Arabidopsis thaliana: one gene and its partners. The protein of the gene in region 2 purifies or fractionates together with the protein of the main gene of each other region. This does not show direct contact. Each region holds a gene or a part of one and is shown on either strand. Other genes may lie near its edges.

Region 1 (3,753 bases), on a different chromosome or scaffold from region 2:
TATGATCTATAAATAAGATTCTAAAGACAGCGACTAGAAATTCTTAAGATATAGCTTGAAGCATTCTCATTGAGAGCAAAATTATTCTGTAAATGAGATTGTTTTGCAATATTACTTCAAAATTAACTTCAGCATCAGGTCTGCCCTCAGAAAAGTTGTAAGAACAAAAATGTATTTGGAGTACCTTCTCACACTCAAGTTTGAGTTTGGGATCAATGTTCAGTCCGAGTGATTCCTTGTAGGCTATGAGCAATTTTTTTGTCTTTTCTTCTCTCACAATCCTCTCTTCAGCGGTCTCAACTGAATCCCCCGGTCGGAGTGTCCTTCCACCACCAAACTTAAACAAGAAAAGTATATATCTCAATCCTCATTACTTGAGACCATAGATGCCAGCAGGAAAATATACACTCCAAAACCATCGAAGTTAAGAGCTGATGGTTATAGCCAACAATCCAAAATGTGGAAAATACAACCAACAAATCATTTTTGATGCATCATATTTCACAGTAGACTAAATGGTATGCGAACTAAATAATAAACCCATGAAACCTTTCTGGCACTCCTACCTCTAATAATCTGGAGTAAGTGGCTCTATATACCCTAACTTAACAACATTGGACATGCAACTTCTTCCCTCTTGGGGGTTTATGAAAAAAACTAATCCAGTTGCATAACACATATCTTTAGATGGGCCAGTCACATACCGTCTTAGAGATGTTGCTAGGTCTTGGGAAAACTCCCCATGTAGAAACTTTGGGTTTATACACATCAGAGTTTCCATCTCCTTCTTGCTCAACCTCCTTTACTTTCTCCGCAAATCTTGTTTTATCACCAACAATAAACTCCACCTCAGGTAAGTCTCCTTCAGGAAGATAGTCAACAACAGGAACAAGTCCCGCTGGAAGCCCCCTCGTGCTCTTCTTATCAGCAAAGCCAAGCCCCATGAAATCAATGCTGGAGACTTTCAATTCTTTCTTCTTAACATCATTATCTTCAACAACCTTATTTGCTAATCTAACGAAACTTTGATCTGTATTACCTGAAACCCATGAGAACAATTCTCCATTAATACAGCTAAAAATCAAGGCTTTACTCCTAAATCTAATCAAAAACCAATCTTTTCAAGGAACAGGCCACGAAAAACACATGAATGATGTACTAAAGACTATTAGAAAAGTGCATTGATCTACAAACTCAAGCAAAGACAGTTACAAGAATTTTGTGCAAAAGATGATTTTTTACTGAACTGGGTTTAGCTTTTGCGACAGCATCAGTTCCAAGTCCTTTCCTTTTCTTATAATCATTGGCTTTTTGCATAGCAGCCTTAACAGAGAGCGGCAATTCCTCGTCGCCGGCATTTTTCTCTGGTTTTTTTTGCTCTGATTTCGATTTCTTATAAGCTTCGGCTTTCTTCAATGCGAGCTTCACCGGATCCACATCGAGCTCAACCTCTGACGAGCGGTCCGGTGAGGACGAGTTGCTCCGAGTTCGGAAAAGTGAGAGTTTCAAGGATTTTGGGTGTTGAGATGGAGAAAAAAAGAAAGCGGGAGTTTCGGTGAGTGGAGAAGAGAGCCAAGAGTGGTTGAAAGAAGCCATGGTTTGGTGGAGAGAAGAGCTGGTTAGCCATTTTTGGAGTGCAATGTTTTCACAGACTTGTGGACTCGTGGATGCAACATCACCACCCATCCATTTCATCATTGGTCTTGGTCACTAGAGCGCATAAACAGTTCGTTTTATTCGGTTTATATTCGGTTTAGATTGATCAATTATGATTCGAATTCGTTTATTTTGGCTCAGTTCAATTTTTTTTTATGCACACTCATATTTAAGTTGTTTTATTTTAAATCAAAATACTAATTTAAAAGAATGTAAAGTTTTATGTTATCCGATTGCATAAATTTGGTTTTAGTTTGGTTTATTTGGTACAAATTACTGTTTAATGTTTTTTAATCATAAGAAATTCAGTTTTGGTTCGATTCGGTTTACTTGGCTTTTGCTCACCATTATTTATTTATATTAATTTTACTCTTAAGATTATTTCTAGTTCCAGTCCAGACTAAAATACTTCTAGCCCAATATCGGCCCAAGTCCAGCTGTAATTAAACTAGCATCACTCGGGTCGGGTCGAGTCGGTCGTAACCGCCTTTTATCTTTGACGTCGTCGATGAAACTCTCACCTCCGCTTAAGCCCTAAAAATCTTACTCTTCTTCACTCTAAATCCCTTCTCTGAACCTCTTCGTTTGCTGTATGTGTTGATTTCACTTCTCTCTGAGCAAGAAGCTTTCGCGTGAGAGAATGACGAAGGTCTATGGAACTGGCACGTACGACTTCAAGCGCCACAGAGTGGCGGAGTATCCATTGGAGTTACCTAGCCATCCTGCTGAGAAGCCTCTAGAGTCAAAGCCTGGATCTAATTTGCCGAGCTCCATCACTTTATCGGAGATTCAGCAAGATAGGTTAACGAAAATCGCTGAGGAGAGCTGGATTAAGACTGGAGGTAAGCTCCCTGAGAAACCGTTCGATCCGGAGGTTGTGAAGGAGATTTATGTGACGGAGCTTAAGGTAACTAGTGGTCGTAAACCTGTTCCACTTCAGCGAGTTATGATTCTGGAAGTGAGTCAGTATTTGGAGAACTATCTATGGCCGAATTTTGATCCTGAGACTGCTACGTTCGAGCATGTTATGTCTATGATTCTTATGATTAACGAGAAGGTAACTAATCTTGCTCTCTTTCGTATTGGACTGTTGGAGCTGTAAACAGTGGAGTTTAACATTGCTACATGCTTTGTAGTTCCGGGAGAATGTGGCAGCTTGGATTTGCTTTCATGATCGGGATGATCTATTCAAAAAGTTTCTACAGAAGGTTCTTCGCCTTAAAGAGGTTTGTATTCTACCTGTTGTTTTAGTTTTTGTGATTCTAGTGTTGTTCCTGTTTGTGATAATTTGGTTTGTACCTGTGATTTATAACATTGTCTTATGCCTGGAATTGACTTCGCTATATATTTGGAGGCATAGTGATAAATCATAATTAGCCATTGCTAAACCAATCGTATATTTATATATCATTTGCTTACCATTGTAGGGAAGAGACTTGACTATTGCTGAGAAGACAAACTATTTGGTCTTCATGATTAATGCTTTCCAGGTTTGTTCCGTTTCTTGCATGTAACTTTTGAATAGGTCGTAAGTATTTAGAATGCTGTTGCGCCTGTTTCAGATCAGAAAATTAATACATGATATAGTAAGCAGTAATTGCAGACAATATAGCTGTGTGCTACTCAGTAAATTGTTTGTTTCACGTGGAAAACCTTATTATTCATGTTTGTACACAAATTATATCCTTGTGCTATTTTGTTTTTCTTCAATATTCTTAACTGTGTGATGTTACAGAGTTTGGAAGACGCAGTGGTTAATGAGATTGTTCTAAGTCTAGCAGGATTACAATCTTGGCACAGCTTGTCTTATGGACGTTTCCAGGTGGGTGTTTCCTTCACATGGATTTTGTTAAGGATGGTGAAAATATTTTGTAGTTGCTCTGATATCGTCATTGATTTTTACAACTGTAGATGGAGCTCTGCCTTCAACCTGATCTAATTAAAAAGTGGAAGAGGTCATCAAAGAAATGGGCAGCTGAGGCAAAGTCAAAGGGAGAGAAATTTGATTTATCCTCATCCCCTGAAGCAAATTTTGTTCGAGGCCTAATAGAAGAATTCGTTGAGGTATATAGCCTGTTTTTATTGGGTTGTAGTGGT
Region 2 (3,753 bases):
AAACATTAAATTAGATGTGAACCATATGGCACCCTATGAATCCAGATTGTCAACAAGTTAACTTTATACACACAGACAAATATGACAACGATAGACAGTTTTTACTTTTTAATAAAACAGAGGCAAGAAGATGAGCATATGCTAGTGGTGGGGCGTGTCATTCTTAGATTCTCGGGTGGAACATAGGTTTGACCAGCAAAATGGTGAGGCCAATTATTGGGCTCAGTAGGTTGGTATGGGTTTAACCATTTTCAGCCTATATAAGGTTTACCTTGCCATATTACTTCAAAATTATTCAAAATCAACACAAATACTCAATCCATTCTTGTTTTATCACAAATCAGATGATCTTACTACTGTGTTCTAGGCTGAATTTATGCGAATAAAAATGTACCTTCCTTCAGCTTTCACAATGCATGAAGATAGATATGAAATTTGTAAAACTATGGATCTTTTGATACAATCCTGGACAACAAATTCATAAACCAATAATCATTGGAAGAGATTAAAAAGGGGACATAGGAAGAGGTTGTGACTTACGGATTTACATCTTGGGTCTGCCACCGAAATGCTTCAAAGAAAATCTGGAGGGACCACTGCGACACTCGGGTCCTTTTCTGGAAACTCCCCAACGTCCAGCATATGGCAACCATCCTTTAATTAAGTTAACTAGTCTGGATTCTGCTGCCGGTAACTCGTCTTGTGCTCCTGGATAACACTTCTCAGCTACATCATCCACACCGTTCTGGTTTTGGTTTTGTATTTGGATTTCGTTGACAATGGATGACACATCCAACCTACCATACAAGGATTCTTTAGCAGAGCATTGAAATGCAGAGACGATATAGGAAGATTGTTACAAAGTACTTACTCGAGGTACCGCTTGCAACTCGGGCTCTTGGATCTTTTGTTCATAGGAGAGTGGTCTATCGACAAATGCCTTACGAAATGTAACTGAAATAGAGTGAAAGGGATGTTAAGACTTTCAAAGGAATGAGATTGCGTGCATACGATTCTTATATAGAAGTGAGAAGGAGTTTAACGAACTTGGTCTCCATCATTGAGACCGAGATAACGGATGCTAGTCTTGTCATTGACTAATCTCTGGTCTCGATAACACAAGCAAAAATGACCCCAGACGTGAGACCTGTAGGCAAAGATCAAAGTGAACGACTGTACCAGAAAGCTTAAGCTGTGAGAATTTTCATATGAAATGATGATATACCATGAAATCATGCCGTGACCTTCCAGAGGAGAAATGGTGAATACTTGTTCCACAGCTCTTTTGAGCTCTGCCACTGAGCAATCCTTTGCAACTTCCACATCTATTGATTCGTTGGAAACCATTTAACTTCTTGAGAGGCCAAATCAGAAACAGTAACCAAAAAACTAGTTGATACTTCATCCAAAATTATGTCTATTAAGGCTCTTAAACAATGATTTCTAACAGCAACAAAAAATTCCGGATTAGAGATCGATTAGGGTATCACCAACTGAGGGAACCGTTGAGCTTGATTGTAAACTAAACTCTTAAAATTGCTATTTCGGAAACTGGATAAGCAAAATCGTACCGAAAAGGGAGCCGTTGAGCTTAACGACGGAAAGCTTGATACGACCCTGAGGAGGAAGTTTCAGGTAGGAAGATCTCCGTCCAGAAATCGAACCACCGTCGTTTAAAGCAAACGATGACAAGAAGCGTGGATCTATCAACGACCTCAGTCCTCCACTTCGACGACCGTCCCTAACCGGACTATGCTCTTCTCGCATTGCCGATTCTCCCGGATTTTCACCGACAAGATTCTGCTCTCTTTGCTCTTCTTCTTCAGCCTTCAGGTGACTGTTGAGGAGCTGAGCGAGCGAGCGAGAGAATCGGGAGAGTTTGTTTTCCGGGGAAAAACCGCAATTACTGCTATATAGCTCCCCAATAAATGCCAAAACAAAAAATCAAATTAAAGTTTGTCAATGGGCATCACGGCCCAAATCTAATAATCAAAGGCCCAATAACTTGATTCGACAATACTTAGCGGGTTTGGATAACCGCCTAAGCATCTGTTCGACACCGCCTATTTTTTTTTTTTACTTACTCCTCCTGATCTGCTGATATAAGGCCGAACGGGAATAAAAAAAAAAAAAAAGGAAGAAGCGACTCACCCGAAAATGTTTTAGGGTTTTTCTTTACTCGATTAAGCTCACTAGTTCTTCGCAACGTAGTTAGAGATCGACACTGGCGCGGTGGATTTAGGGTTTTTTTCCTCCGCGACTACGCTCGGCGTTTCGATTTGGAACCCTAAGCTATGTGGAACAACAACGATGGTATGCCCTTAGCTCCTCCTGGTACTGGCGGGTCCATGATGCCGCCACCTCCCGCTGCTCATCCTTCTTACACGGCGCTTCCGCCGCCTTCTAATCCGACTCCTCCGGTCGAGCCTACTCCTGAGGAAGCGGAGGCTAAGCTTGAGGAGAAGGCCCGAAAATGGATGCAGCTAAATTCCAAACGGTACGGCGACAAGAGGAAGTTTGGATTCGTTGAAACTCAGAAGGAGGACATGCCACCTGAGCACGTCAGGAAGATCATCAGGCTAGTTTTCTTCTCTTCTTTCTCTACCATTTCGAAATACAGTTTACTTGATAATTATTTTCTGGCTAGGTTTCTAAGATTTGGTTAGGATTTACTTATTTTGAGACTGAAGCTGCGATTTCTTTCTTACTTCAGAGATCATGGTGATATGTCATCCAAGAAATTCCGTCACGACAAACGTGTATACCTTGGAGCCCTTAAATTCGTCCCTCACGCAGTTTTCAAGCTCTTGGAGAACATGCCTATGCCCTGGGAGCAGGTACATTTTTTTTCCTTTAGCTTCAGCTGTTTTCATCGTCTGTTCATTTATCTAAATCCTCATTTTCTTTCAGGTCCGAGATGTAAAAGTTTTGTACCACATCACCGGAGCTATTACATTTGTGAACGAGATACCATGGGTTGTGGAACCTATTTACATGGCTCAGGTTGGTGATTAGTCTTATCTCTTATTTACTGTCTCTGTGCGCTGATGGATTTTCAATAGCTTTTGATGGTTATTCCATTCTTGTTTTGCAGTGGGGTACTATGTGGATTATGATGCGAAGGGAGAAGAGGGATCGTCGTCATTTCAAGAGAATGCGGTTCCCACCTTTTGATGATGAGGAGCCTCCACTAGACTATGCAGACAACTTGCTGGACGTGGATCCTCTGGAGCCAATTCAATTGGAGCTAGATGAGGAAGAAGATTCTGCTGTCCACACTTGGTTTTACGACCACAAGCCACTCGTTAAAACAAAACTGATTAATGGTCCCAGTTACCGGAGGTGGAACCTCTCACTTCCAATCATGGCAACCCTTCACAGGCTTGCAGGCCAGTTGCTGTCTGATTTGATTGATCGCAACTACTTCTACTTATTTGACATGCCATCTTTCTTCACAGCAAAAGCTCTGAACATGTGCATACCTGGTACGCCATTTTCCTTCTATGCTCCAGTTTTTATATTTTTGCTGCGGGTCCATTGCTTTTAATGCATTCTCCTACTCTTTTCCAGGTGGACCCAAGTTTGAACCTTTGTACCGTGATATGGAGAAAGGGGATGAGGACTGGAATGAGTTTAATGACATCAACAAGCTCATTATTCGTTCCCCTCTGCGTACTGAGTACAGAATAGCTTTTCCCCATCTCTACAATAATCGGCCCAGGAAAGTAAAACTCTGTGTGTATCACAGTCCTA
Region 3 (3,753 bases), on a different chromosome or scaffold from region 2:
GTACAACCGGTTAGTACATTTTAGGCTTTTTGTTTATACTCATTGATCATTATTTGAACTGAGCTCTGATTATCTTCCATTGAACAGGTATTGTGCTGGATTCTGGTGATGGTGTGTCTCACACTGTGCCAATCTACGAGGGTTTCTCTCTTCCTCATGCCATCCTCCGTCTTGACCTTGCTGGACGTGACCTTACTGATTACCTCATGAAGATCCTTACAGAGAGAGGTTACATGTTCACCACAACAGCAGAGCGGGAAATTGTAAGAGACATCAAGGAGAAGCTCTCCTTTGTTGCTGTTGACTACGAGCAGGAGATGGAAACCTCAAAGACCAGCTCTTCCATCGAGAAGAACTATGAATTACCCGATGGGCAAGTCATCACGATTGGTGCTGAGAGATTCAGATGCCCAGAAGTCTTGTTCCAGCCCTCGTTTGTGGGAATGGAAGCTGCTGGAATCCACGAGACAACCTATAACTCAATCATGAAGTGTGATGTGGATATCAGGAAGGATCTGTACGGTAACATTGTGCTCAGTGGTGGAACCACTATGTTCTCAGGTATCGCTGACCGTATGAGCAAAGAAATCACAGCACTTGCACCAAGCAGCATGAAGATTAAGGTCGTTGCACCACCTGAAAGGAAGTACAGTGTCTGGATCGGTGGTTCCATTCTTGCTTCCCTCAGCACATTCCAGCAGGTAAAAATTGATCAGATTTTGTTTCGAATTCTCTTACATGCAAATTGAAATCAAAGGCTGATTATTTATGTATATGTTGGTTACAGATGTGGATCTCCAAGGCCGAGTATGATGAGGCAGGTCCAGGAATCGTTCACAGAAAATGTTTCTAAGCTCTCAAGATCAAAGGCTTAAAAAGCTGGGGTTTTATGAATGGGATCAAAGTTTCTTTTTTTCTTTTATATTTGCTTCTCCATTTGTTTGTTTCATTTCCCTTTTTGTTTTCGTTTCTATGATGCACTTGTGTGTGACAAACTCTCTGGGTTTTTACTTACGTCTGCGTTTCAAAAAAAAAAACCGCTTTCGTTTTGCGTTTTAGTCCCATTGTTTTGTAGCTCTGAGTGATCGAATTGATGCCTCTTTATTCCTTTTGTTCCCTATAATTTCTTTCAAAACTCAGAAGAAAAACCTTGAAACTCTTTGCAATGTTAATATAAGTATTGTATAAGATTTTTATTGATTTGGTTATTAGTCTTACTTTTGCTACCTCCATCTTCACTTGGAACTGATATTCTGAATAGTTAAAGCGTTACATGTCTTCCATTCACAAATGAACTTAAACTAGCACAAAGTCAGATATTTTAAGATCGCACCATTTTATATAACCCCAATCGTCAATTCTACTGTTTCAAGTTTTACACCAAAACAATTACGAGGTGTATCTATTCGTTACTCTTTTCGCTTATTAATCCTTTTACATGATGCAAAATATAACAAATTAATTTCAAATTGTCCTGCACATTTGGTTTATACATCTTGATTCCAAAAAGTCAACTCGTTGAAGAATTAATCAATACTCGAAACGAGTCTTCCTTGGGCCCTAAAATATTGTCCTATCTAGTTGATGCTTATATAGCATATATGGGCTAATAAATTGGGCCTTAGCTTTGGAAAAGGACGTAGAACTTGAAACAATTTTTATTTTTCTTTTTCCGGCGAAACAATTATCTAATTACCAATTTAACCCCAATCCTTTCTCAGTTTCTCTCTTCCGCGTCTCTCCTTCTCGTTATCCTGCAAATTAGGGTTTAAGTAAGAAAAAAAAGCTAGAGAAGTATCTCGATCTCTTCTTCTGTTAGATTCTGCTTTCCTTTGAGATTTGCTAGTGTAATCGTAACCTCCGAAGACCCAAGATGGCTCGTAATGAAGAGAAAGCACAGTCGATGCTCAACAGATTCATCACCCAGAAAGAATCTGAGAAGAAGAAGCCAAAAGAGCGTCGACCTTACCTCGCATCAGAATGTAGAGATCTAGCTGAAGCAGACAAATGGAGACAGCAAATTTTGAGAGAGATCGGTAGCAAAGTAGCTGAGATTCAGAACGAAGGATTAGGAGAGCACAGACTTCGAGATCTAAACGATGAGATTAACAAGCTTCTCAGGGAGAGATATCATTGGGAGCGGCGAATCGTTGAGCTAGGTGGTCACAATTACTCGAAACATTCGGCGAAGATGACGGATCTAGAAGGTAACATAATCGATGTACCTAACCCTAGTGGTCGTGGTCCTGGTTATCGTTACTTCGGAGCTGCTAAGAAACTTCCTGGTGTTAGAGAGCTTTTTGAGAAGCCTCCTGAGCTGAGGAAGCGTAAAACTAGGTATGATATATATAAAAGGATTGATGCTAGCTATTATGGGTATAGAGATGATGAAGATGGTATTTTGGAGAAGTTGGAGAGGAAATCTGAAGGAGGGATGAGGAAAAGATCGGTGGAGGAGTGGCGGAGATTAGATGAGGTTAGGAAGGAAGCTAGGAAAGGTGCTAGTGAGGTTGTGAGTGTTGGAGCTGCAGCTGCTGCGGCGAGGGAAGTGTTGTTTGAGGAGGAGGAGGATGTTGTTGAGGAGGAGAGGATGGAGAGGGAGAAAGAGGAGGAGAAAGAGAGGGAATTTGTGGTTCATGTTCCGTTGCCTGATGAGAAGGAGATTGAGAAGATGGTGTTGGAGAAGAAGAAGATGGATCTGCTTAGTAAGTATGCTAGTGAAGATTTGGTTGAGCAGCAGACTGAGGCTAAATCCATGCTCAATATTCATAGATAGAAAGGTGATCATCTCTTCTTGTAAGGCTTTTTAATCATATCATAGTATAATTTTATTGTCTGTAGTTTCTTTTGCAGTTTTTGATCAGAAAATTGACTGAACTGCTGTGTGTTTTAAGAAATTTCGATTAGAGGAATTCTAAAAATTTGTTGATGTTTCTTATATTATTACATCCTAGATTATGATCTTAGAGAATTTGCTAGATCTTGATTTATATTTCCTTAGTAGTCCTGGTCTGTTTGAGAGTATGATAAGGCTTCTGTCGAGTAATGTCATAAAGCGCGATCAATCTATAACAACAACGTACATTCTTGCTTCATTAATCAAGAGTTTCACTGACCTGAGTAATTGACCTAGTACCCTTGTATGTGGAGCTTAGATTTGCAGAAACTGTTATTTCAATGGGACATACTTTAGTTAGTGCCTTAGTGGCATGCATTAGGATGCGAAGGAATTCGTATTATATCTTCTCTTGAATTGAATCTGAGAGGCTGATACATCATCTCTATGCTTCTCAGATGCTCTGTTTTACCAACAAACTCAGCCGCGATGGTCTCTTGCCTAAAGAAGAAACGATGTTGGGCGTTTGAAATATGATTTCATGGAAACAAATGTGAAAGACTCAAGGAGAAGATACAATGTCACTTGGAACTGAACTAGTGTATTCTATTATGTAGCTCGACTTTTGTATCTTTATACTTCTGAATGTAATGCTCATTGCCTGAGGTTTATACATTGTTCCTTTGGCTCTAACTAGATTGGTGCTATGCAGAGACATAAGTTGAGACCAACCACAAGCATTTTTCTGGTTTTGATTTTACTCCCAGTAAAATATTTATTGAGTACGGACAAAACATCAAAAATCAGAACAAGACCGTTGAGATGGATAATACTTGTCTAGAGATACGAACCACACCCACATGTTCCTACACACAATCCCCAAACCATCTCTCTAACCAATAACACTTTTTCTCTCT

What was found.
Region 1: the proteins of SUS2 (region 2) and EMB2765 purify together in Arabidopsis thaliana (affinity purification with mass spectrometry; 2 studies listed by BioGRID, with this or other methods). This does not show direct contact.
Region 3: the proteins of SUS2 (region 2) and AT3G18790 purify together in Arabidopsis thaliana (affinity purification with mass spectrometry; 2 studies listed by BioGRID, with this or other methods). This does not show direct contact.

What each region holds. Positions count from the first base shown.
Region 1 is NC_003071.7:16,208,797-16,212,549, reverse strand, and holds the start of EMB2765 (P-loop containing nucleoside triphosphate hydrolases superfamily protein), read left to right. Parts: upstream 1-2,121; 5' UTR 2,122-2,296; coding exon 2,297-2,713; intron 2,714-2,792; coding exon 2,793-2,882; intron 2,883-3,083; coding exon 3,084-3,146; intron 3,147-3,391; coding exon 3,392-3,478; intron 3,479-3,567; coding exon 3,568-3,720; intron 3,721-3,753. Other genes in the region: AT2G38780 (cytochrome C oxidase subunit), read right to left, coding at 185-337, 705-1,039, 1,248-1,698.
Region 2 is NC_003070.9:30,115,758-30,119,510, forward strand, and holds the start of SUS2 (Pre-mRNA-processing-splicing factor), read left to right. Parts: upstream 1-2,089; 5' UTR 2,090-2,294; coding exon 2,295-2,578; intron 2,579-2,713; coding exon 2,714-2,837; intron 2,838-2,910; coding exon 2,911-3,003; intron 3,004-3,094; coding exon 3,095-3,485; intron 3,486-3,570; coding exon 3,571-3,753. Other genes in the region: AT1G80060 (Ubiquitin-like superfamily protein), read right to left, coding at 545-797, 872-954, 1,048-1,147, 1,226-1,325, 1,572-1,767. UniProt on the Arabidopsis thaliana protein: Functions as a scaffold that mediates the ordered assembly of spliceosomal proteins and snRNAs. Required for the assembly of the U4/U6-U5 tri-snRNP complex. Required for embryo development.
Region 3 is NC_003074.8:6,475,980-6,479,732, forward strand, and holds AT3G18790 (pre-mRNA-splicing factor ISY1-like protein), read left to right. Parts: upstream 1-1,681; 5' UTR 1,682-1,873; coding exon 1,874-2,776; 3' UTR 2,777-2,780; intron 2,781-3,294; 3' UTR 3,295-3,603; downstream 3,604-3,753. Other genes in the region: ACT2 (actin 2), read left to right, coding at 1-9, 88-701, 788-853.